Linked DNA regions of Drosophila melanogaster. The protein of the gene in region 1 interacts with the protein of each later gene in a pairwise test. Each region holds a gene or a part of one and is shown in the gene's direction. Other genes may lie near its edges.

Evidence for each region.
Region 2: the proteins of achi (region 1) and CG13775 interact in a two-hybrid assay, tested with the Drosophila melanogaster proteins (one large-scale study listed by BioGRID).
Region 3: the proteins of achi (region 1) and org-1 interact in a two-hybrid assay, tested with the Drosophila melanogaster proteins (one large-scale study listed by BioGRID).

What each region holds. Positions count from the first base shown.
Region 1 is NT_033778.4:12,510,089-12,517,502, reverse strand, and holds achi (achintya), read left to right. Parts: upstream 1-2,440; 5' UTR 2,441-2,727; intron 2,728-3,104; exon of another isoform or gene 3,105-3,159; intron 3,160-3,241; 5' UTR 3,242-3,258; coding exon 3,259-3,373; intron 3,374-3,441; coding exon 3,442-3,935; intron 3,936-3,994; coding exon 3,995-4,143; intron 4,144-4,243; coding exon 4,244-4,630; intron 4,631-4,719; coding exon 4,720-4,821; intron 4,822-4,880; coding exon 4,881-5,002; intron 5,003-5,068; coding exon 5,069-5,248; intron 5,249-5,313; coding exon 5,314-5,432; 3' UTR 5,433-5,969; downstream 5,970-7,414. Other genes in the region: CG8818 (uncharacterized protein), read left to right, coding at 1-99; CG13151 (uncharacterized protein), read right to left, coding at 245-2,059; vis (vismay), read left to right, coding at 7,064-7,178, 7,237-7,414.
Region 2 is NT_033779.5:6,953,857-6,959,803, reverse strand, and holds CG13775 (uncharacterized protein), read left to right. Parts: upstream 1-2,853; 5' UTR 2,854-2,931; coding exon 2,932-3,186; intron 3,187-3,460; exon of another isoform or gene 3,461-3,496; intron 3,497-3,584; coding exon 3,585-4,547; intron 4,548-4,601; coding exon 4,602-5,219; 3' UTR 5,220-5,349; coding exon of another isoform or gene 5,350-5,411; 3' UTR 5,412-5,447; downstream 5,448-5,947. Other genes in the region: Atac1 (Ada2a-containing complex component 1), read left to right, coding at 1-621; CG3430 (uncharacterized protein), read right to left, coding at 765-1,148, 1,215-1,458, 1,517-2,706; SA1 (stromalin 1), read right to left, coding at 5,350-5,411, 5,477-5,947.
Region 3 is NC_004354.4:8,449,070-8,457,958, reverse strand, and holds the start of org-1 (optomotor-blind-related-gene-1), read left to right. Parts: upstream 1-2,889; 5' UTR 2,890-3,664; coding exon 3,665-3,827; intron 3,828-5,678; coding exon 5,679-6,067; intron 6,068-6,143; coding exon 6,144-6,376; intron 6,377-6,445; coding exon 6,446-6,602; intron 6,603-6,699; coding exon 6,700-6,861; intron 6,862-7,787; coding exon 7,788-7,855; intron 7,856-8,798; coding exon 8,799-8,889. Other genes in the region: CG32713 (uncharacterized protein), read left to right, coding at 399-953.

The sequences.
Region 1 (7,414 bases):
CAGTTCCTCAGTCTGTTCCTCGACCAGAGCGATCCTGTGGACTCTTCGGGAATGGCCAGCAAGTACAAGGCACCCAAGTCCTTCCAGTACAAGTTCTAGTCCCCAGTTTCCATCGTTAAGCCGTTGTCATCGTAGTTACAGCACAAGTGTTTGCACCATTGAGCAATATTGCAAGCATCCCCATATTGCAAGCCCCCACAAGGAATGTAGTGTCTCTTCAATAAATGTTATTTAATATCCATCTTCAGGTGGCTCCTTCATCCACCATGTTGCCCTCGGGCAGTTGGCCAGGCAAAATGCCGACGCATTCGTAGCAGCGGGATATCAAGTGGTTGCCGCATCGATGTTGCAAGCACTGTTGGCACCGCGTCCGCGATTTAGTGCCACGCTTATTTCGAGCGCAGGGCTTGCACCTGCGATGCTTCTCTCCGTACCGACTAGCCAAATTAATGCCCAAGGGCAGGCTCATCTTGTCGGGTGTTAGCACGCCTACGCTGTGCGTTAGTTTCGCCTCGCCGGTCGCCTCACTGAGCAGCCGCTGACTGGATTGGCCCAGGATTTCGCAGATTTGCAGTCGCATCACGAGCGAAGTGCTGGTGGATCTTCGCTGAAGGCGTCGCTGTAATCTCTGCTGTGTGAGGAAGAGTCCCAACTGTCTCTGGAAGTCGCGCTGATCCATAGCGGCATCGCCTTTGGGCGAAAGTCGTAACAGGATCCATGCATTCACGGCAGCCGCGTTGAGCACAAAGTGAAGTAGTTGCAGAAAAGGATTGATCTGCTTTTTCAAGGGTGCGGGCGTAGCGTGGGCTGTGCTGAAGCGCTGGGAGTGTTCGTAAAACTGCTGACAGGCTTCTGAGGTTTGCTCATATGCCTGGACTGCATCTACTTGGGAGCTAAGACCGCAGCAGAAGACTGCGTCGCCATCGAGCGGAATGAGTTTTGAGCTGCCACCAAACAAGGGTGATTCTGTGGGCCACTGCCGCGGCCAATGTGGCGAATTGGCCTCCAGCTTACCCAACGAGCTTATTTGCCGCTGCGCCAACTGCTCGCACTGCGTCAAGTTTAGATACCGTGATCCCAGCGTTACATTTCTTCCCGTGGTCTTGAAATCGCAGATCAGTTGTTCTACATCCTTGTCCGGACATCTCTGGTTTCTGCTTACCACTGCATTGGCCATGTACAGTGTCCTGGCATCACAGCAGAGGGTCATCCGTGACTTGGCCACCGCGCAGAATGTCTCATCCACGGTCAACCAACTGCTGCAGCCGTAGTAGGATCTGCAATTGATTATAAGGCGCTGCCAGAGCTTTTGGCCCTCGGACCAGCCGCAATTTCCCGCCAGACACTCGGAAATGCTTTCGAATCGAGCGAGCGACATGGATGCTCGGAATATGGCATTGCCCAGCTCCAGGGTCCACAGCTCATCCAATGGCCCATTGTGCCTGGCATTTCGGAACACTCCACAAAGGTAGCTTAGACCCAAGAATGCCCGCAGCTCCACAACGTCTAGGGGTCTCTGGACACTTGTGGCCGTTCTCCGCTTACGCATCTGTTCATTGATATGGCGAAGTAAAGACCGCAGCATTTCATCATCGAAGAGCAGCATCCATGCTTCCACTGCATTGGACACTGTTCGGGCGGGTCCCTTGCCACAGGCCTGTTGCCCCAAAAGGGGTAGATCCTCTGCAGAAATATCTGGGCTCCTGGTCACGCTCCATAGCTGCCCACAAGGAGATGTGTAGTTTCCGTTATTATTTGGTGGACGACCACGTCCTCGCTTCGGGGCAGCTGGCCTGGCGGAATCCTCCTTCTTCAGCACCACGTCAGCCAGTTGGTCCTCGTTCATCAGCATGTCGCTGTCCTCGAAAATCCAGGGAAAATTGCATACTGCTTCCTGTAGCGGATCGGAGTCATCTCCGTTAAAGGAGGCACTTTGGACTGTGGAATCGACCGGCGGCAGCCGCTCCTCCACCTCCATCTTTTCACCATCCTCGTCTTCTTCCTCCTGGTCGCTACATTTAATATTGGCCAGCAGCTCCTCGTCCAGCACGCATTCCATTGTTTGTTTATAAACTTGCAACAAAACAAACCTTTTCAGTCGTCGATAGGTTAGGACAGTAACGTCTATACATATCGATAATTTATATAGTTATCGAAAAAGACATTTAAAACATAAATCTTAAGCTTGAAAGGTTGAAAACTTATAAAAAAAATAGTTTGTTCTATTTAGAAAAAATTATGTACATTCTAAATATAACTTATTTATTTTAAATGTAGATTTAATTTCCAGCGTAGAGATAACTAGTGTATGTTTATAATTCTTAAACAAATTATACTTAACAAAACTTGTATTTATTCTTGGCGCCACTGTTCAAATTTCAAATGAACCTGCCAACTGAACTAACTCCCCAGTGGACCCCCATCCATGATTTATCGCACATAAGCGGCTATCGGATTTCTTTCGCCACTAATTTGTTGTTTGGCACGCAGCAAGGAAAAGGAATAAAACGCTTTAAAACCAGTGCCAAAATAGCTTTCCCCAACGTTCGTTACTATATTTACGTTGTCTGCAAAAAGAGTTTGTCTAATTGGCCTCGATACTACGGTTGTGACGACTGCCCCGTCACTACAGTTTGCTGAGTGCAGTAACCGGGGCCTGGCTGAAACACTGGGAAAACCAGTGTTTAGTGTAAATAAATGATAGTGGCACCCATTCGGACATCGCAGGTGAATCCCCGGGAGCTCAAGACGCCCGTTATTTGGGCGCGCAGTGAATTTGTCAAAATATTTTGGTTAAAGTGTCAATTTGACATGTTATATGTCATGGTCTCTCGTGTGCCAGTGCGATAGTTATCGATAGATAGCCCCAACTTAATTTGTTTTAAATATTTTTAAATTTCTTCTTTACTTAATTCACTACTGTAATACGTTCGTTTAATGTATAGTTCCTTGGAAATTAATCGATTTAGCAAGTAGACCGATTGGAAAGAAATCAAAAATCGATTTGAAATGCGTATTTGAACCTTAGTTGGCCATGACTTTGGTGTCTGAATGACGCCTGCCCTCAGAAAAAGTTAGTTGAATCTCAAAGTCTGTGGTGACAACACCTAAAGAAACTAAAAAGTGACAGGTTTCTCTGTTTGTAAAAAAAAAAAAATTGTAATTAAAGTTCTGTTCTTTTCCTTTCAATATTTGCATACCGTTTCTGGTTGTGTTTTAATGAATTTTCTGTTTTCTGAAGCTTAAGTCTGAGCTGCAATGATCTCGCCGGAACAAGAAGAGGTCAACATGGTCCTGGATCGCCATGTACGGCAGAATATCCAGGACATGATGCACGAGGCTCATGTCCAGGCGAGCCTGCTGGAGAACGAAGGTGAGTTTGCTATATTTCGGTCGAGTTCGGTCTTGTTCATGCCCGTTTTTTTTGCATGTCATCTGCAGGACGCGGCCGTTTCCACTCGGACTCAAGTTTGGACCAGGATTCTCTTCACGCTGACGTCATCGTGGAGGAGGATCAGAGCACCGAACACGGCGCCAACCAGGTGCAAAACTACCACGACATGATGGTGGACAGTGAACACCACATCGACATAAATGGGTCGCTGCGCAAACGTCGTGGAAATCTTCCCAAGACCTCTGTAAAGATTTTAAAGCGTTGGCTTTATGAGCACCGCTATAACGCCTATCCGAGCGATGCGGAGAAGTTCACCCTGTCCCAGGAGGCCAATCTGACGGTGCTCCAAGTGTGCAACTGGTTCATCAATGCCCGTCGCCGCATTCTACCGGAGATGATCAGGCGCGAGGGCAACGATCCTCTGCACTTCACCATATCGCGACGTGGCAAAAAGGTTAGCCCCAACTGTTCGAGATCAAGTGCGTTGGGCGCAAACTTGACTGGGCCGAATCCCGCACACGGAAGTCCTGCTTCCGAAGTGGTGTGTTATCTTCTGGTCAATCATTATACCACTGAAGTTACTAAATTGCTTGACTCCAGGTCGTTGGCGCTACAGAGGAGGTGGATGGCGCCGGTGAGATTCACGAGGGCATCGCCAATGTGCTGACCAACTTTGAACAGTATGTGCAGGGCCCCAACGGACAAATGGTCAAGATGGAGCCGGAGTACGAGGACAGTGTCATCTACAGGTAACTGGTAACCGGTCTTTATGACCTGCTTCCCTAGCGTTAGTCACTTCTATCTCCTATCCCATCCCACCTATGTCCAAACTCCTTTTCCTCTTCCAAGCTGGCAGCAGGCCATTGCAAACAACCCGATGGGCTTTCAAAGTCTTCACTCCTCGCTTCAAGCAACCATGATCGATAAAATTAAAAACTATCAGATGCGCAAGGCTGCCGCCATTGGGGGTTCGGCGGTTGGCTCTGGTGGTGCTGGTGGGTCGAGCTCCAACTCCAGTCCTGCCACATCAATACTGCCATACAGCCTTTTTGGCCAGCTGCCGCCAGAGTTCGATGACGAAGAAAAGCCAAGACCTCCGAAGCGCGTAAGAACGCGGACGGTTGCTGCAAAGAGTCCTAGGGAGAATGCCAAGCAAGCAAAGCAGAAGACTGGGAATAAGCAAGAAACCATGTACTGCTATAAGGATTCATACGGCGGAATCGTGGTGTCTCCTAGGTACAGCTTCTGCTCCCATTGACTGATCCAGAGCCTTAAATCTTACTCAAGTGCGAGTGGCGGTGCTAAGATTTTACTTTTACCCCCAGGTCCGAAGGCGAAGAGAGTGCACAGGGATACGAGTCCTGTGGGCCGAACAGCGAGGAGGAAGTACGCTTCGAGACCTCCCATGATTGGCAGAGCGTTATAAAGTAAGTAGCTATGTGGATGTATTAAGAAAATATTGTAATCTCGGCCTCTGCAATTCCAGAACTGTATTTGGTACTGAGGAAGTCAGCACTTCGGCTGGCAATAATCCAGGTACCTCTGGTTCTAAGGGATCTGTTCAGAATACCGCCATCTGGAATCGCAATCAGACTGCGAAGCGTGACGGTGAGTGAAGTTTGCAGACTTAGAGCTCGGTTTCTTTGGTAATATCCAACTCTTTTACTCCTAAAGTGAATCAACAGTTGACTGACTTTGAAAGCGAGCTGAATAGAATACAGGCCTCAGAAATCCAGACAATCGATCCTACCAACTCCAATCAACAGGACATTGGTGACAATCTACAGGCGGACGAGGTGTTTACCGGTGCCGAAGCAGAAGCTGGCCAGAGTCAATTATCTGCTATGTCGCAGGGTAACCTATACCTATTTTTATCAACTTTATATTGAATTTTTAATTATTTTATAATCTTGCTTTAGGCACAAGTCCAGATGAGCGTGCCAAGTACAAGTGTCTCTATTATCTAGTGGAAACTGCCATGGCTGTGCGCCAAAACGATGACGTCCAGGATGACGATTTCGTTTACATGGGAGACTAGAGCCTCAAACCAAATACCCACGCTACAGATCCCGACTTCCCAAAGTGCCGAAGCGTGTATATACAAATATGTATATATAGATATATATATATACTTAAGTAATTTAATCGAACAGCACTAGACCCAAAAATTTGTCTATAACCCCCATGTTATTGTGTTAATTGAGTAGGTTACTAACATAACGTACAAAGCTATAGATCAATTCGCAATGCGACCGCCCAAATACCTTTTTCCACAAAGTCAATTCACAAACAAATCGACTTAGTTTTGGACCTGACTCTTTTAAACTTAACATGTACACTACTGATACTTAAATAAAACATAAACAAGCATTTGAAATACACATTGCCATAAAATGATGGTGTGTTTTATCTAATTGGCTGATAGAGCCATTTTTTTAAGGTATCTAGTAATTATGTACACATACATACATAAAATGAGAACGTTTGTGGAAGGACAAAATTAATTTTGTTATAAATATTATAAATGTATTGGAATACTTTGGTTACCACAGATAATAAAGAGTGGCGCAAAAACAAAATGATTCGATTTTTAACTATAAAGCTATAGAACAAAAAAAAAGAATGATATATTCGAGTTCCCCGGCTATCAGATACCCGGTACATATATGTGAAAATGTGAACAAGAAATTTCATAATTTTTCTGGGGTATTGATAGATAATTCGGAAAAAAGAAATATCCAAAAATTTTCAAAAATGAGGGCGTGAGTTTTGCGCTGTTTTAGGGCGTTACAGTGGGCGTGGCAAAAAGTTTTCATTTTTCAAAAGTGTGGGAGTGGCATTTTGTACGGTTTGAAAGCGTTGGAGTGGACGTGGCAAAATAGGTCCACAAACTTGTGATAGTTCCTGACTTCATACGAACGGACAGTCAGACGGACGGACGGACAGGTCGACTCGGGTATTGATCCTGATCAAGAATATATGTGTTTTATATGGTCGGAGAAGCTTCCCTCTGCTATTACATACTTTATAACGAATCTAGTATACCTTTTTACTCTACGAGTAACGGGTATAACAAGTGACGATCGCACCTCCAACATACAAATCTTCTGAAATCAAAATGATATTACATTTGACCAAATAAATGCGCTTGTCTAAATTTTACAAATCAAAATTTTTATAAATTTTGGATAAGGTAAAAAGTACATTTCGAGACGCCCGTTACTTGGGCGCGCAGTGAATTTGTCTAAATATTCATGGTCTCTCGTGTGCAAGCGCAATGTTTGTGCGATAGTTATCGATAGTTGGCCCTAACTTAATTAATTTTAAATATTTATAAAATTCTCCTGTACTTAATTACTTACTTTAATACGTTCGATACAAGCAGACCGATTGAAAAGAACCATTTTTAAAAATCAATTGAAAAAATTTGTTTTTGAACCCTAGTTGGCCATGACTTTGGTGTCTGAATGACTTGCCTGCCCTCGGGAAAAGTTAGTTGAATCTCAAAGTCTGTGGTGACAACACCTAAAGAAACTAAAAAGTGTCAATTTTCTCTGTTTGCAAAAATTGTAATTAAAGTTACTGTGCTTTTCCTTTCAATATTTGCACACCGATTCTGGTTGTGTTTTAATGAATTTTCTGTTTTCTGAAGCTTAAGTCTGAGCTGCAATGATCTCGCCGGAACAAGAGGAGGTCAACATGGTCCTGGATCGCCATGTACGGCAGAACATAAAGGACCTGATGCACGAGGCTCATGTCCATGCGAGCCTGCTGAACAACGAGGGTGAGTTTCCTATATCCCGGTTGAGATCAGTCTTGTTTATGGCCGTTTTTTTCTCCAGGACGTGACCGTTTCCACTCGGACTCCAGTTTGGACCAGGATTCCCTTCACGCCGTCGTTGGGAATGATCTGAGCACCGAACAAGGCGCCAACCAGGTGCAAAACTACCACGACATGATGGTGGACAGTGAACACCACGTCGACATTAATGGGTCGCTGCGCAAACGTCGCGGAAATCT
Region 2 (5,947 bases), on another chromosome or scaffold:
CCGCCAGAGGAAGTGGAAATGCGCAGATTCGGGAAGATAGCGAAGGCCTTGGGCAACAGAACGGCACAGCAAGTGTATAGTCGTGTCCAGAAGTATTTCCAAAAGCTGCACGATGCCGGAATGCCTGTGCCCGGTCGCATACCCAAGCATCGACGTCCTGGTTTGAGTAAGCCGAAGATCAAACTTCGCAAGTCAACCTTCTTCCCCGCTCATAATATATCGCTACAAATGCCAGAGGACGATTTCACATTTGACGACCTGCGAATCCCATCGCCTGCGAGCGATATGCTCCTTATGCCGGCATCCAAGATCGAACCAAAGATCGAATCCGAGTACATGGATGCCGATCTGAATGCGGAGTCAAAGCGAAAACAGGAACTATGCCTTAAGCTTCTATCAGCCATTCAGGACGAGAAACGGGAAATGGAGGACGGATATGAGCCAGACTTGCTGGCCGCCAAGTGTGCCGAGTGCGAAGAGGCATCTGTGACCAGGACCCAATGGCGTTGTAACAGTTGTTATTGTTACCTTAATCTGTGCGGAGATTGCCTGGCCAGTCAGCTAATCGAAGGGCGTTTCGAGCATTTAAGTCATGAAGTTGTAGTGGACCAAGAGTCATGACGCTCCTAGAGTCCCATTTACTTGAGTACTAAATTACTAGACTTGCCTGTAAAGCTACAAATTAAATATAAAGAGAATAATTTTAAAAAATTCTATTTTATTTATAAAAACTTAATATTAAATGGTATAAAAGAGAGGCCCTCTTAATTGCGCAATTGGGCAGATGATTTCGGCAGAGATTGAATACGCTGGCGACGCTTTGCTTCGAACTCCGTAGCCAGCTGCCATGTTTCTTTGTCCAACGTATCCTTCCCCCGGGCGATGCCCAGCAGCCGTGAGAGGACCAGCAATCCATGCAGATCATCGGCATTACTTTTGACATTAGCTTTACGCATGTCCACGAAATCCTGCTGGATCATTTCAGTGTGCTCCTCGCTCACGTTGAAGCCGCTAGTGCGCGCTGTGGTCAAGTACTTGCGAAACTGCTGCAGACGTGATGGCTGCAGATAGTGGTGGGCTGCCTTTAGAGATTCATCAACAAGTTCCACGGCCTTAGAATCGGCATTAATGGGCAGCACAAAATCGCTCTGAAAACATATCATTAATAGTTTCTATTGGATATAATGATTATTTATATAAACTTATATTCTTACCGGCAACATACTTCGCCCTTCACTGAGCACGAGAACTGGAATATTTGCTTGGTAGTCTATTTGGTAATACTGAAAGTCGCACTTCAGTTCCTGATTATTGATCAAGTGCGCTAAATGCTGAACGGCATGAACACCATTGGCCTCCAGCTTGCCCTGTTGCATGCACGTCTCGTCGAGCACCAAATGCGTATGGGGAGCCAACTGTAGTACGCCGGAAACCAGCTTGTTTGTCTCATAATCCTTCCTGCAAGTACTCATTAATAGGTATTCAATTTTATACTATTTCTGCTTAGCCAACTTACTTTGGGGCAAAGGCTGCCGTGTTTAGTGTGACGAGAGTCATGGGCATGTAATGGCTGGCCGGCAGTAGCAGCTCCAGAATTTGATACAACTTGGTTGCATACGCCTCACAATTCTTAGGGAGATTACAAAGGTTAAGGGCGAACTTGCCGATGCTCTGCATCTCAGAACGACTGTAGACCGTAGATATTAGGTGGGAGAGCAAATACTCGGCAGCCAGATCGTCATCAAAGAGGCAGAGTTTAAGAAGCATGCGCAGATCTTTGTGCACAGCAAGGTGGGTTGGATACGTCTCCTCACATATTTCCGTTGGCTGTCGAAGGCTTTTGTCCAGCAGCGGATTGGCATGCGGCAGCACCTGGACTCCGAAGGCATGCAGGCGGGGTATAAGAAATGGCGATGGATGAGCTGCCTGCAGTTCACTCAAGTTTTCACAATCGTCTATTTCCAGGGTAGCGGCGTCTAGTGAAGCATCCACTGACAGAAAGCCCACAAAGTCGACCAGCGAGTTAAGCTGGTAGGTATCGAACTCCTCGTAAACCTTTACCATGCATGCCATGCTGGGACGATCCGGCAGAGGCGAGTTAATCAGGTAATCAGACCCAAGAACAGAGGATTTGGAGGCGCCGACTGGCTCGCTATCTTTTTGAATCTCTTTTAGGCAGGGTCGCTTGAACGTTGTTTCGCTCGCAACGTCCACATCCATGGCTTCTTCTTCGCCTACAATAGTCCGCTTCTTGGCTGAACTGGGAGATTGACCCAGACTGGCCAAATCGATCTGGGGACAGCACAGCTTCTCATGCTCCTTGCTCCAATCGTTCAGACCAGGCACAGAGACCACGAACATGGTACGCCTCTCTCCATGCACGTTTCCATCGGCGTTGTAGTCAATCACTTCGCCATTGGCTATTTTCAAGCAGTCCCTGTACTTTCCTTCCTGTACACGTTTGCTGCCGTCGGCGGATTTCACTTCGTAGCGCTCCAGATAGATTTCTGGGTCCATCATGTCCTGGATCATTCCACGAAAGCGCACCAGAGTCTGATCCTTCAGCTTGTGAAGAGGCGTGTAGTTGAGCAGGGGAATCGAGTGCCAACGACTGGGATCCTTGAGCAAGTCCTTGAGTGCAGCGCTGTCCGCTTGCTGGGCGGCCAGTTCATCGGGCGTGCTGGGCAGCTCCATCGCACAGGGCATTATCTAGTTAACGAATGAATTTGCAAATGCCTCAAAAACCTCGAATGCAAAAAACAACAGCTGCTTTGGCGCGCCAAAAACTGATTGCAGCATATTAGTGATGGTCATCGATGGGCCTATCGATATCTGCCAGGGATGTCGAACTCTGCCGCAGAACGGATGTAGAGGCGGATGTGGACATCCGCAAAAAATGTACAATTTGAGAATTACCAAAGAATTGCAGCGATGAGCAAGAAGAAAAGCAATGTGTGGCAGTACTTCTACAAGACATCCGGCACAGTGGCCACCTGTCTGCTGTGCAACAGGAACTACTCGAGGCGAGGACGCGGCACAACATGTCTGCGGAATCATCTGAAGAGCAAGCACCCACCGGAGTTCCTATCTCTATCCGGGGACATAAAGTACCTGGACCTGGTTAAGAGCGAGATCTCCATCGGTTCGCCACAGCACCCCACAGCCCAGCTAGAATTGAATCTGCACGTAAGTGGGATAGCATATAGATGTGCATACATACCTATGTACATGCATATGTACTGTGCAAGAAGTGTACCTTATGTGAAATCGGGGTACATGCCCTTCTAGATATTCTGTCATGTGGAGATGGTTTCCCCAAACTTAAGTTTCCATTCAAATATAGTTTCTTTGGTAGTTCATAAAGTAATTTATGCCTTCTCTTATTTAAAACTTTTTACTAATATAGCAACAGCGGATGCGGATTTTTATCCGCGTTTGGCTAGATCGGCAAACATGTGTTGTGTTTATAAAGTGTAGTTAAGGAGGTTTTAAAAATGTACTGTTATGGTCTTAGTATTATATTTTTATAAATTATGCGTTTTTCACTAATCTGATGCATTAAATTATTCTATTAATCATTTTAGGAAACAGATTCAGATCCATTGGACACCGAGGATATATCCTACAGCAAACGCTGTGATGAGAAGTTGGCCCTCATGCTACTAAATCACTCCTTTGAGTTCATTGAAGGACCAGGATTCGTAAATTTCATTAGGACGCTGCAGCCGCGGTACACGATTCAACCAAGGAGCTACTATGAGAAGATACTGTGCGAGGATATACAAAGGAAAATGCATCAGCATTTGAAGCAACAGGTGGATCTGCTGGATGCCATATCGTTGTCTACGAGTCTCTGGCGTGGTGACAAAGGCGAAGGACTGCTGAGCTTGTCCTGCTCCGGAATATCAAGGGATTTTCAGACTCACCGCCTAATGCTGAAATGCGAGGCTCTGAATTACGAAAGCACTTCGAAGCTAGCTTGTTGCATTCGAGATCTTGTGCCCAGCTTGGCCATTGAGGTGCCCAAAGAGAAGATACACTGCGTAATCAGGGACGAGATGACGGCGCTGCCAGGTTCCCTGCCCGATTGCAGTGTGCACCGCCTGCAGATGTGCGTTCGATTTGCTTTGCAATCGAACGAATTACTGCAGAACCTTTCATCCAAGTGCAAGCAAATAGTTGACCATTTTGCGTCGTCTAAGATGGCCAACGATCATCTGAAATTCATTCAAGAGATCCGCTTGACGCGAGACCCGTGCACACTTACACCTTACGATCCCTGTCAATGGAATTCCGCTTTTCAGATGATGAGCAGCGTGTTTCGAATGAAAGATGCTCTATCCTTGTACTGCGAAGAGTATAGTCTGGTCCAAATATATCCAGATGAATGGATAGAGATCGATTTGTGCAGCAAAGTAATGCAGCCTTGTGAAGAAACAATCAAGATATGGAGCAATCCATCTACGACCACCTCATCCGTAATCCCGCTGGTTGCCGCTTTACGGGATTCCCTCCGAACAGATGTCCATAACTTTGTCTCATCTGTGGTAAGTTGCAGTAGATAAAACCATAAAGTATTGTCTAATATTTCGAATGTCTAGACTATATGCAGTTTCGCCAGAAAGTTGCTTGAAGAACTGGAAATGAAGTTCGCCCACATCACTAGCGACATCAACTTTTTGATGGCCACATATTTGGATCCGAGATATAAGCAAGCATTTTTCACCGAACGTGAGGAGCAGTTGGTGGCCAATGAAGTTCTGCTTCAGCTCGCTGGAGTGCCAGAGGATTGCAATGGTCAGCCACCGCTGAAAATAATCAAAGTGTCATCCACATCGTCCCAGAAGAATGAATCAAAGATCGATAGCATTCTGGATAGCATACTGACAACTGGAACGACGAACACTCAACAGCCAAATACGTCAATGGGCTCCCAGTCTCAGATTAAGAATCTGCTATATCTATACAACTCCGAACCCAGAATCGATAGGAACATGGATCCCCTGATTTGGTGGAGGAGCAACATAAAATACATATCCTTGTATGGCATTGTTAGGAAATTCTTATCAGCACCAGCAGCAAGTGTGGTTAGTGAAGGCTTATTTAGAAAATCAACGCACTTGTATTTCGACATGCAGGCGGGCTTGAGCCCCGAAAGTGCATCCAAAATGTTGCTCATGAAGGCCAACTTTAGCTTTAGCAATTCGGAAATCAATTAGGATACAGTAATTTATATAATTTAAACGTATTTATGTACATAATATTAGCTTTAATCTTACAACTACTTGATTTTCCGGAAAATTAGATTTTGCACTTAAGCCGCGTGTATGGCTGATTGCCTGATGGGTCCTAGCCCCTGTAATCAGGATCATTGTGTTCCTCTTCGTCTTCCTCCTCCTCCTCTTCTTCATCTAAATTAAAAACATGTTTTTCATAATGTTGATTCTAAATAAAATGAAAGCTATGAAATTCTTACCATGATCTCGACGTTTACGTGTGTAGGCTCGTTTGCTGGCGACGGGCGCTTGATCAGTTTCGCCATGTAGCAAGGAATTGCGATATAATATCAGCGGCTGCCATTCCTCAGCTCGGCTGGATGGCATTGCGGGTGGTATTATCTTGTCCAGAAAGCTCATTATGACCTTCTTGTCTTGCTTCAGTAGCTTGTAGTTGAACTCGTTCAAAACCTCCAGGAAGAGCAAGCGAGTTGGAGCCCGCACCGGATCATCTGGCTCCTTGTTCGCAGCGAAATAAATGCCACCACGATGAATGGCGGCCACAGATTCGCGATTCTTGATGGCATCGAAACCAAATGTGAGCGCAAATCGCTTGGCCAACTCCTTGAGGTCCACAAACTCTTGCGAACTCTTTGAAACTATGCCATCCTCACTCTGCTCCTGCAGACTCTTAAAGACTGTGATCAGGCTCAAAAGGAGCGTCATAGCGA
Region 3 (8,889 bases), on another chromosome or scaffold:
TGTACTGTGCGGGTTTTTAAATGCAAGTTATAATATTAGTCAATTTGATTTAAATGCTTTTTTCTTGTTCCAATTAGGTAGTCAAATTCATTTCGCTAGAACTTCGTTGCCATCAACTTTCTGATAGCTTGTACTTGATTTTCTTCGATTTTGTTTATGAAATTCGATTGGAGAATCAACAAATGTTGATTAGGCTATAAGGTAATCCAAGGATGCCATGAAATTTTACTCGCACTGGCATTCGCATGACGACGACAGTTTTACACAAGGGGTTCCAGAAGCAAACTTCTATCCGAACAAAGCAGACTACACCTGGAGACACAGAGCTTGTGTATAAAATCTAAAATTATCTATATATATATATATATATATATATATATATAAATTCGGGCATCAGGATGCGGAAGGTCCAAGTTTTGGTTCAGACGCGCGACGGCAAGAAGACCGTCTACGAGGTGGATCGCTTAGGAACGGTGGCCAGCCTGAAGGCACGGATCGGGCAAGTCATGTCCGTGCCCATGGGCTTCAGTCGGCTGTCGTACAAGGGTCGCGTGCTATCCAATCAGAGCGTACTGGAGGATTTGGGGCCCAATAAGTCCACCCTGGATCTCACCTGGAAGCCGGTCGTCCTGACGGCCAATCAGAGCAGCAAGTTAAGCAAGTTCGGCTATGGCAGGATAGACGATAGTGAAGTTATGTTTACACTGATCGGTGGCTATCAGCAACGCGAAGAATATCCTGGTGGCCTAGTCAATCCACCGGACGACGAAAGTCAACTAAACTTCAACGCAGGTGACGATGATGATGCACTGGAGGCCCAGGACATGACTGGACACGATTTGTCCTCAATTCAAACCGATGATTTATCGCTCAAAGGCCAGACGGAACCGGAGCTGGATTGCTCCATTGGATCTCATGGATTCTCTGGATCTCAAGAAGAAGGCCACGAATAACGACAATGAGAAGTAGACTGTTGTAAATTATCTTAAATTAAAAATATTTAGTCGTCATTTAATTTCGAAATTCCTTTAAGCCAAACGCTTCGATTTGGAATCTAAATTTACGATACAATAATAAACCTTTAGTCGATTTCGTCCATGATGGAAATTTTACAACAAATGCATTACACTCATTTATATATAATATTTATATAATCGATAAAAAAGATCGAATATCGAATTTATGAATCATTTAAGTAATTTCTTCGAAGCAGTTAGCATTTCATTTCCAATTGTTTACACTCAAACAAATAATTAACGACTAAAATGGCATGGCCAATGCCATAACAATTTTTCAAATTTATGTATTATTTATGGACTGCATGGTACGATCTGCTGCGATCGAAATGCTTCTGAAAATGCCAAAAAAAAGGGGAAAAAAAATTAACTCAAAATAATTGTAAACAGTAGTGCGGCAAACGAAAATCAGGGAAAAACATTAACAAGCAGTTGTTCCATAAATCCAGGACGCAACTGGATGCGTAGATTTATATGGAAGGGGTGAGTAGGAGGGAGGGTAAACAAATCGATTCACTTGGAGACCCCGTGTGCCAGGTAACATATACTACTACATGCTATATATAATAGATATACCATCTATATGTATACATATGTATGTACCCACTAATTGGAATGGCCGTGGCTGATGAAAAGCAGACGCACCCGGTTAATCGGGCTGTTTCACTTTGATCGGTCCAGTTTTCTCGGCTTCCCCGGATCTCCATCTCCGCTGGGCCCACATTCCGGGCTCCAATGGCCAACAGACGCCATTTTCGACCGCCCATCTCACTCCCTCTTGTGGCGGAGGTGGTGGCCGCCGCTACACTGAGCGCAAATGTTGCTCACAGCTAATTCAAATTTCGTATGAAAAATTAGCAGTAATCCTTTTTTTTATGTATTAAGTATTAATTCATATTCTCTTCGTATTTCTTATGTTTAATGCAATTTTTTCCAAAAACTTATGATTATTCCAAATGAATTGAATTTTTTGGGTGCGCCTTGCCAACGTCTTAATATTCCGTTTTCCTTTTTACGGTTTATTTAGTGTCGAGGTTATGGCGCAATTTGTATTTATGGCCAACAGCAGCAGCAACATCTCGGCTGCACTGCAGCATTGAGCGGAGCACCGCGAGATCCACGAGCAACCAGCACCACCATGCGTGCGGCAGTCCAATTAAAAGCGTTTTCCAAATGAGGCCCATGACTCTGGTCGGCCACCCACTCCACGGGCCACGCCCACTGATCAGCGCGCCCCCCTGAAAAAAAAGAGAATGAAGAAAACAATATGCAAAAGTGGGGATCACCTGCTCCTCCTCCTTCTTGATCTTCTCCACCGCCTGCTGTTTATGGTCAAAGACCACGCCCCTTCAAAAAAAAAAAAAAAAACAAGAGAGAAGTAAACAGTGGAGCAGAAATTAGTGAAACGTGTGGAGAGTACAGTGATCTATATACTCTAAAGGATACCTCTATACTATTTACATGCATTAAGTTATTAATATGATCAAATTAGATTACATAAATATAACTATGTTAAGCATAGTTTGCATAAAACCAAACAAAGAGTTGCAGATAGCAAACCCCAAGTGTTCACCAAGTTCTAGGCCTCACTGTAGCCACATCTGGTAAATGCCTTGCGCGCACCCTACGCTCAATTCTGCGCGGCATATTCATCCACTTGATACTAGGCTAGATCCCAGGCGAGCCAACACATGTCGGTGCGATCCAAGGAGGAGTAGAAGGAGGAGAAGGAGAAGGAGGAGGAGGAGGAGATGGAGGAGGAGGAGGTGGCCGTGCGGCCATTGGTGGATCGATTGGTGCGGCTGGCGAGTCTAAATTTGGATGCTGCGGCCGGCGATTGGCGGATAGATTTCTCGATTTGGGGAGATGGTCCGTACAATGCGGCATCTTGGGATCTCGAGAGGCAGCGATGCATCTGCCCAGCAGCAGCAGCAGCAGCAGCCGCAGCAGTAGTTGTTCTCATTCGGCGGACCAGCGCTTGACGGAACGGATGTGTGCGTGATCAGAGATCTAGGCATCCAGAGATCGCATTCGAAATCAGATCAGATCGATATATCCGCGAGATATAAACATAGGATACTATACGGGATAATCAGTTCGCACTTGGCCGGAAGAAGGTGGCAATTGAGACAACTCAACGCTTTCTGCCAGTCGAATTAGAAAGAAAACAAATAAAAGAAGTTCAAGTCAATCAATCAGCTAACACAGGGAATTAAAAACAAAAAACAAAAAAACAAAAAACAAAAAACTACAATCGGGCAAATTTTCGCCAGTCAACGCGATCGGGCCATAAAAACAATTCGAAGAGAATTAATTTGATTTTTCATTCGATTCTTGAACTCGATCTCGATTCTGATTGACAACAGCGAAAGGTTGGCGTTGGATTTTCGCACCACTACATACTTTTTTTTTGCAGTGCACAGTGAGTGAGTGAGTGAGTGAATGAGTGAGTGATTGTGTGTGGGTGCAATAATCAAATTTGACAACTGCGCGAATAACGTTCGAGATCAAAACAAATTGTGCCGGAATAAATGGAATAAATGGGCCAAGAACTCGCTGCGATTTCCTTTCTTCCACTGTGAGCATCACATATCCAGCCATCATATATATATATCATATATATATATATTCCAACGATCACGCTCGCCATGACGCACCTGATGGGCCCCACTGAGTGCGCCGGCGCCATGATGACCACCACATCCATGCAGTTCCTGGACACCAGCCTAACGGACTACAACTGCTATGGCAACGACTACTGGACATCGCCGTACATGACCGGCGGACTCAGTCCCATGAAGCAGATCGAAGGTGAGTCGTTTGAGTTGACTTAAGCTGGAGAGGATTAGGCAACTCTACCGCGGAGTATTTTAAATCGGATATTAAGATATTAGGTTGTGTACCTTTAAAAGTCGCAAACAAGCATACAAGTAGATTTTTAATATGTTATAACTTTTGCATGAACTTTTACTTTTGTTTAGACTTTTAAGTCCTGTAAAGTATATTTTTTTTTTACTATCTGTTTCAAAACTTAAACTAGAAAATAGGCTTTTAGTTTATATTAGCATACTACTAGTTAAACATATTTTTCCAAGATTTTATTAGCTTTACCTTTCAGTTCAATCGAATGTACAACTAAAACTTCTTAAATTCAAATATATGCTTTAAATATTTATCAAAGAAGTATCGCGTAGCAAACAAAAGGCGAAGCAACAAAAAAGTCATATTTTCCATTTGACTATTCGATATTATGTTTTTTGTTCAAAAATCAGGCAATGGAATTTTGCTAGCAAACAAATGTATATATTCCATATCATTTGTCTGCCTGCAAGTGACCCAAAAAACTGAAATGGAATCCGTTTGCGATAGAGTAATTAGCAAAATACACCGAGCATGGCAGCGGCGGCACAAATGACATCCAAAAGTTTAAAAAAAAAAAAACTGAGAAACTGAGAAACTGAAAACCAGAGAATCGGAAAACCAAAAGATCAGAAAACCAGAAAACCCGATCAATTAGCTCAGAATTCCCGGATCCCCGAGATTTCAAGTGGCATTTCTCTCGTGTTTGTTGTTGTTTGATGTTGTGCATGTGACAGAAAAACGATTTGTTGTGCCAAACGTTAATTGATTTTAGAATTCATTCGTGCAGCAAAAAATGCTAAAAAAAAAAAATCGAGGAAAATGGGCAACTATTTAGCGCTAAAGCGGCTAAATGACCTGTCATGGGTCATTCGCGGCATTGATTGCCATTGCGGCAATTCCCGCAACTGCGAGCCCAGTGACAATTAATTGCTGAAAATCTCATCTCATCCCATGCAATCCCATACCATACCATACCATACCATTTTACAGGCATCCCCCGAAAAGGGGAGATCCTAAATTTAGAGCATGCAACTCAATCAGCAGCCGCCGCTACTCAGACGCCTCTTTTATAATTGGACATGTTGTCCCATTTGCCCCAAACTCGCAACTCGAAACGTACAAAAAACAAAAAAAACAAAAAAAAAGAAGTCGGTGTGTGGATATATCATCAAGTGATATTATTACAAGACTCCTTTAATCAGAATTCAGAACTGTGAACTGCGAGCTCCAGAAGTGAGAAATCTGCGCCGGCGTGGCGTCTACGTGCTTTCTGCCCCACTTTCTCATTTAAATCGCATAAATCACATTGAGTATGAAATTAGCAAATCCCAGCAGCTATATACATGCATATATATTTTATATATATAAAACCCATTCACTTGCTATAGAATTTATACGCGCTACGTGTTTGATTTATAGTCGCATATTTTCCGCCCATTTGTCAGTGGGATATGAAAAAATACAGGGGCTTGAATTGAGATATCTTCATTATTAATTAGTTTATAAAGGGATAAGGATAGTTTATAGGGATATCCAAACTATAGTTTTCTTTAAAGTAAATCGAGTTTTGTATAGATTTTTTACATATTTTACATAGCCACATGGATTACTTGATCATTCTTCACTTTTAATGAGCAGCATTTTATGTTACATTACTTTTACTACTTAACCGCCACTTTAACCGCGACTTTAACCCGCACTTTAACCACCACTTTAACCAGCACTTTAACCACAACTTTAACCCACACCTTAACCTCCACTTTAACCCGCACTGTAACACCAACTTGTGCTTCACTGCAGCCTGCATCCAAACGGCTGGCAAGGATCGCAGCTCGTACAAGCCGCTGGAGCAGATCGATGCCAAATTGGCGGACATCGAGACGCACAGTACAGGCAGCACTGGCACCGCGAACAGCAACAGCAGCACCAGCAGCATCTCGAATCCCAGTTGCCCGGATCAGTCGTCGTCGTCGTCATCGTCGTCCGTATCGCTGCCAACCGATTATGCCGGCGTACACAGTGAAGCCTCGATGGCACCAACAGCCGGCGGCACGGCAGTCACAACGACATCAGCTGGCGGAGTCAGTGCATCCACCGCGTCCAAAAAGTTCAAGGGACAGCACAAAAAAGACAACAACAGTGCGGAGAACGGTACAGTGAAGCCCAATAGCCATAATATCAGCAAAGGTGTAAGTAAATTCAACGATGGGAAACGAAATAAATAATAGATCATTTAAAATATATGATTTCCAATTGATAATTAAGGAATCGGAGCCAGTGCATCCATCGCTGGCCCAGGCCATTGTGGTGCTGGAGACGAAGGCGCTGTGGGATCAGTTCCATGCCCAGGGCACCGAAATGATCATCACCAAGACGGGCCGACGCATGTTTCCCACGTTTCAGGTGAGGATCGGTGGTTTGGATCCACATGCCACCTACATTTGCATGATGGACTTTGTGCCCATGGATGACAAACGCTATCGCTACGCCTTTCACAAGTAAGTTAATGTTAAAAAGCCATGGCCACATGGAATTCGATGAAAATGATGCACTTCAATTTGCAACAGCTCCTGCTGGGTGGTGGCTGGCAAGGCGGATCCCATTTCCCCGCCCAGGATTCATGTGCATCCCGACTCGCCAGCCGTCGGCTCCAATTGGATGAAGCAGATCGTGTCCTTTGACAAATTGAAGCTCACCAATAACCAGCTGGACGAAAATGGACATGTACGTTTCATTACTTATATAGATAGATAGATAGATATATAGATAGTTAGATAGATAGATAAATAGGTATATTCAAATCCTGCCTCTTCATCTCCAGATCATTCTGAACTCCATGCATCGCTACCAGCCGCGTTTCCATCTGGTTTATCTGCCACCGAAGAACGCCTCCTTGGATGAGAACGAGCACTCCAGCCACTTTCGCACTTTCATCTTTCCGGAAACGAGCTTTACGGCCGTAACTGCCTACCAGAATCAGCGGGTGAGCATGATATATATATGATATATATATTGTTAATATATGATATATATTGTTAATCGAAATATGCTGGTTGCTATTTGTAAACATTTACCATAATGATTTATATGTATTATCAATAAGTTCATCTTGGCATTCGAAGCGGCCAAAAAGGCCGCGACCATTTTGTGCCATTTTGGCCTTATTGTTTATGTTTTTCCCATAATTTATAACAAACGGCGGCCAAAGCTAGCACAATTTCAACCATAGCGAATATATATATGTATATATAACAGCAATTGGAAATGCGAGCACAGACCATGCAGATACTCTAACCCGAAAAAAAAAATATTAAAAATAAAAAAGTAGCATACACAAATACACAAGATTTTAGAAACCACGTTTCCAATGCACTGTGGCTTTCATTCGAAAAATGGGGAAGATAAGATTATCAGGTGGGATTGATATCAGGTGGGTGCATTGATATTAGTAATGAACAGTGAACAGCATATCTAATCGCAAGTTGAAAGAACTCTCGACATACATATGTACATTGTATACCCTCGGTTTTCCACATTTTTTTGTCTTGGTTGTGATTCATAATGATGGCCAGGGGGAGGGGGAGGGGGGAGGGAATTTTGTGGGTGGCTAAAAATATAACCATAGACATCGTTGGGGCAAGTATTTAAATTATTTATGTGGGGGTGTTAACACTTTTTCCACCCGCCCTCGAATTTATCGCAAATCATTTTTACCCCGCCGCCAGCGGAATGCCACATATGCCACATAAACATATTTTCTTTTATTATTTTTTTTTTTTTTTAATTTTTTTTTCACTAATTTGTTGGGTATTTAATTTATTTGTTTGGCCCGCCAGCTTGTCGGCATGCCTCAAGCGCTTTTCCAGTCGAATAAAAATATTTTCCACCAATTTTCCGGCCGTCTTGCAGGTGACACAGCTGAAGATCTCCAGCAATCCATTCGCCAAAGGCTTTCGGGATGATGGCACCAACGATGTGTAAGTAGTTCCAAATCTTTTTGTTATTTTAATTTTTTTTTATTTTTACCTATTAACTATGAAAGCTGAAATCAGCTTGCAACTATATTTTAATGCGATTTCATTTGTCTGCGAAAATGTGGCAAAGTAATTTGATTGTCTAGCATTGTGTTAAAAAAAAAAAAAACATGTGCTTAAAATTAGTTCTAGATTTTTGACACGAGCATTTCAAAATGCTGAATGAATAAATTTCAAAATATATATAATAATAATAGTACACAATTTTCGAACGTCTAGAAGTAGTATAAATGTAAATATGTAATAATAATAACAAATGATAAACAAATTGACCCACTTTTCAAAACTTGAAATACACAAATGTCCAAAGTGGAGCTAGACATTCGGTCGACATTCGGCATAGATATTCCCGGAAAATATTGAAAAACTTCAAATAACGCAACAATAACTCAAAAACAAAAGAACTTCAAAATGCCGAGAATGTGAAGCTGGAATGGAAATGGAAATGGGAATGGTTTAGGGAATGGGAATGGGAATGGGAATGGGACTACTGATGATGATGGTGATGGGTGGACTGACAGATGTGCCGGGCGGCATAAACAATTTATTCGAAGGGCTTTTCATATTTGTCGAACTTGCCAGGCCGCGACTTGGTAGCATAGTGTAAACAAATTCCCCAATTTTGTTTACGATCGTGGTGCTTAGGCAACTTGTTTATTACGAGGAAATACTTCAAATAATTTTCATTTCTTTTCTCCGAGTGTTTGGCTTATGGCTTTCGGCCTGGTTATGTTACAAATCATAACACTAATATTTATAATATTGCACGTTTTTACACTTGGCCAACTGAGCAGCATTCGCTGTAGATTTAAGCTGTAAATGTTGCTTCATGTTAGTTATATATTGTATATATATTTTTATAAATTGCCATTGTTTGACATTATAGAACCACTGGCGGTGGCAGCAGCATGTCCTCCATGAGTCACGAAAGTCAGGCGCGCATGAAGCAGCAACAGCAGCAGCAGCAGCAGCAGCAG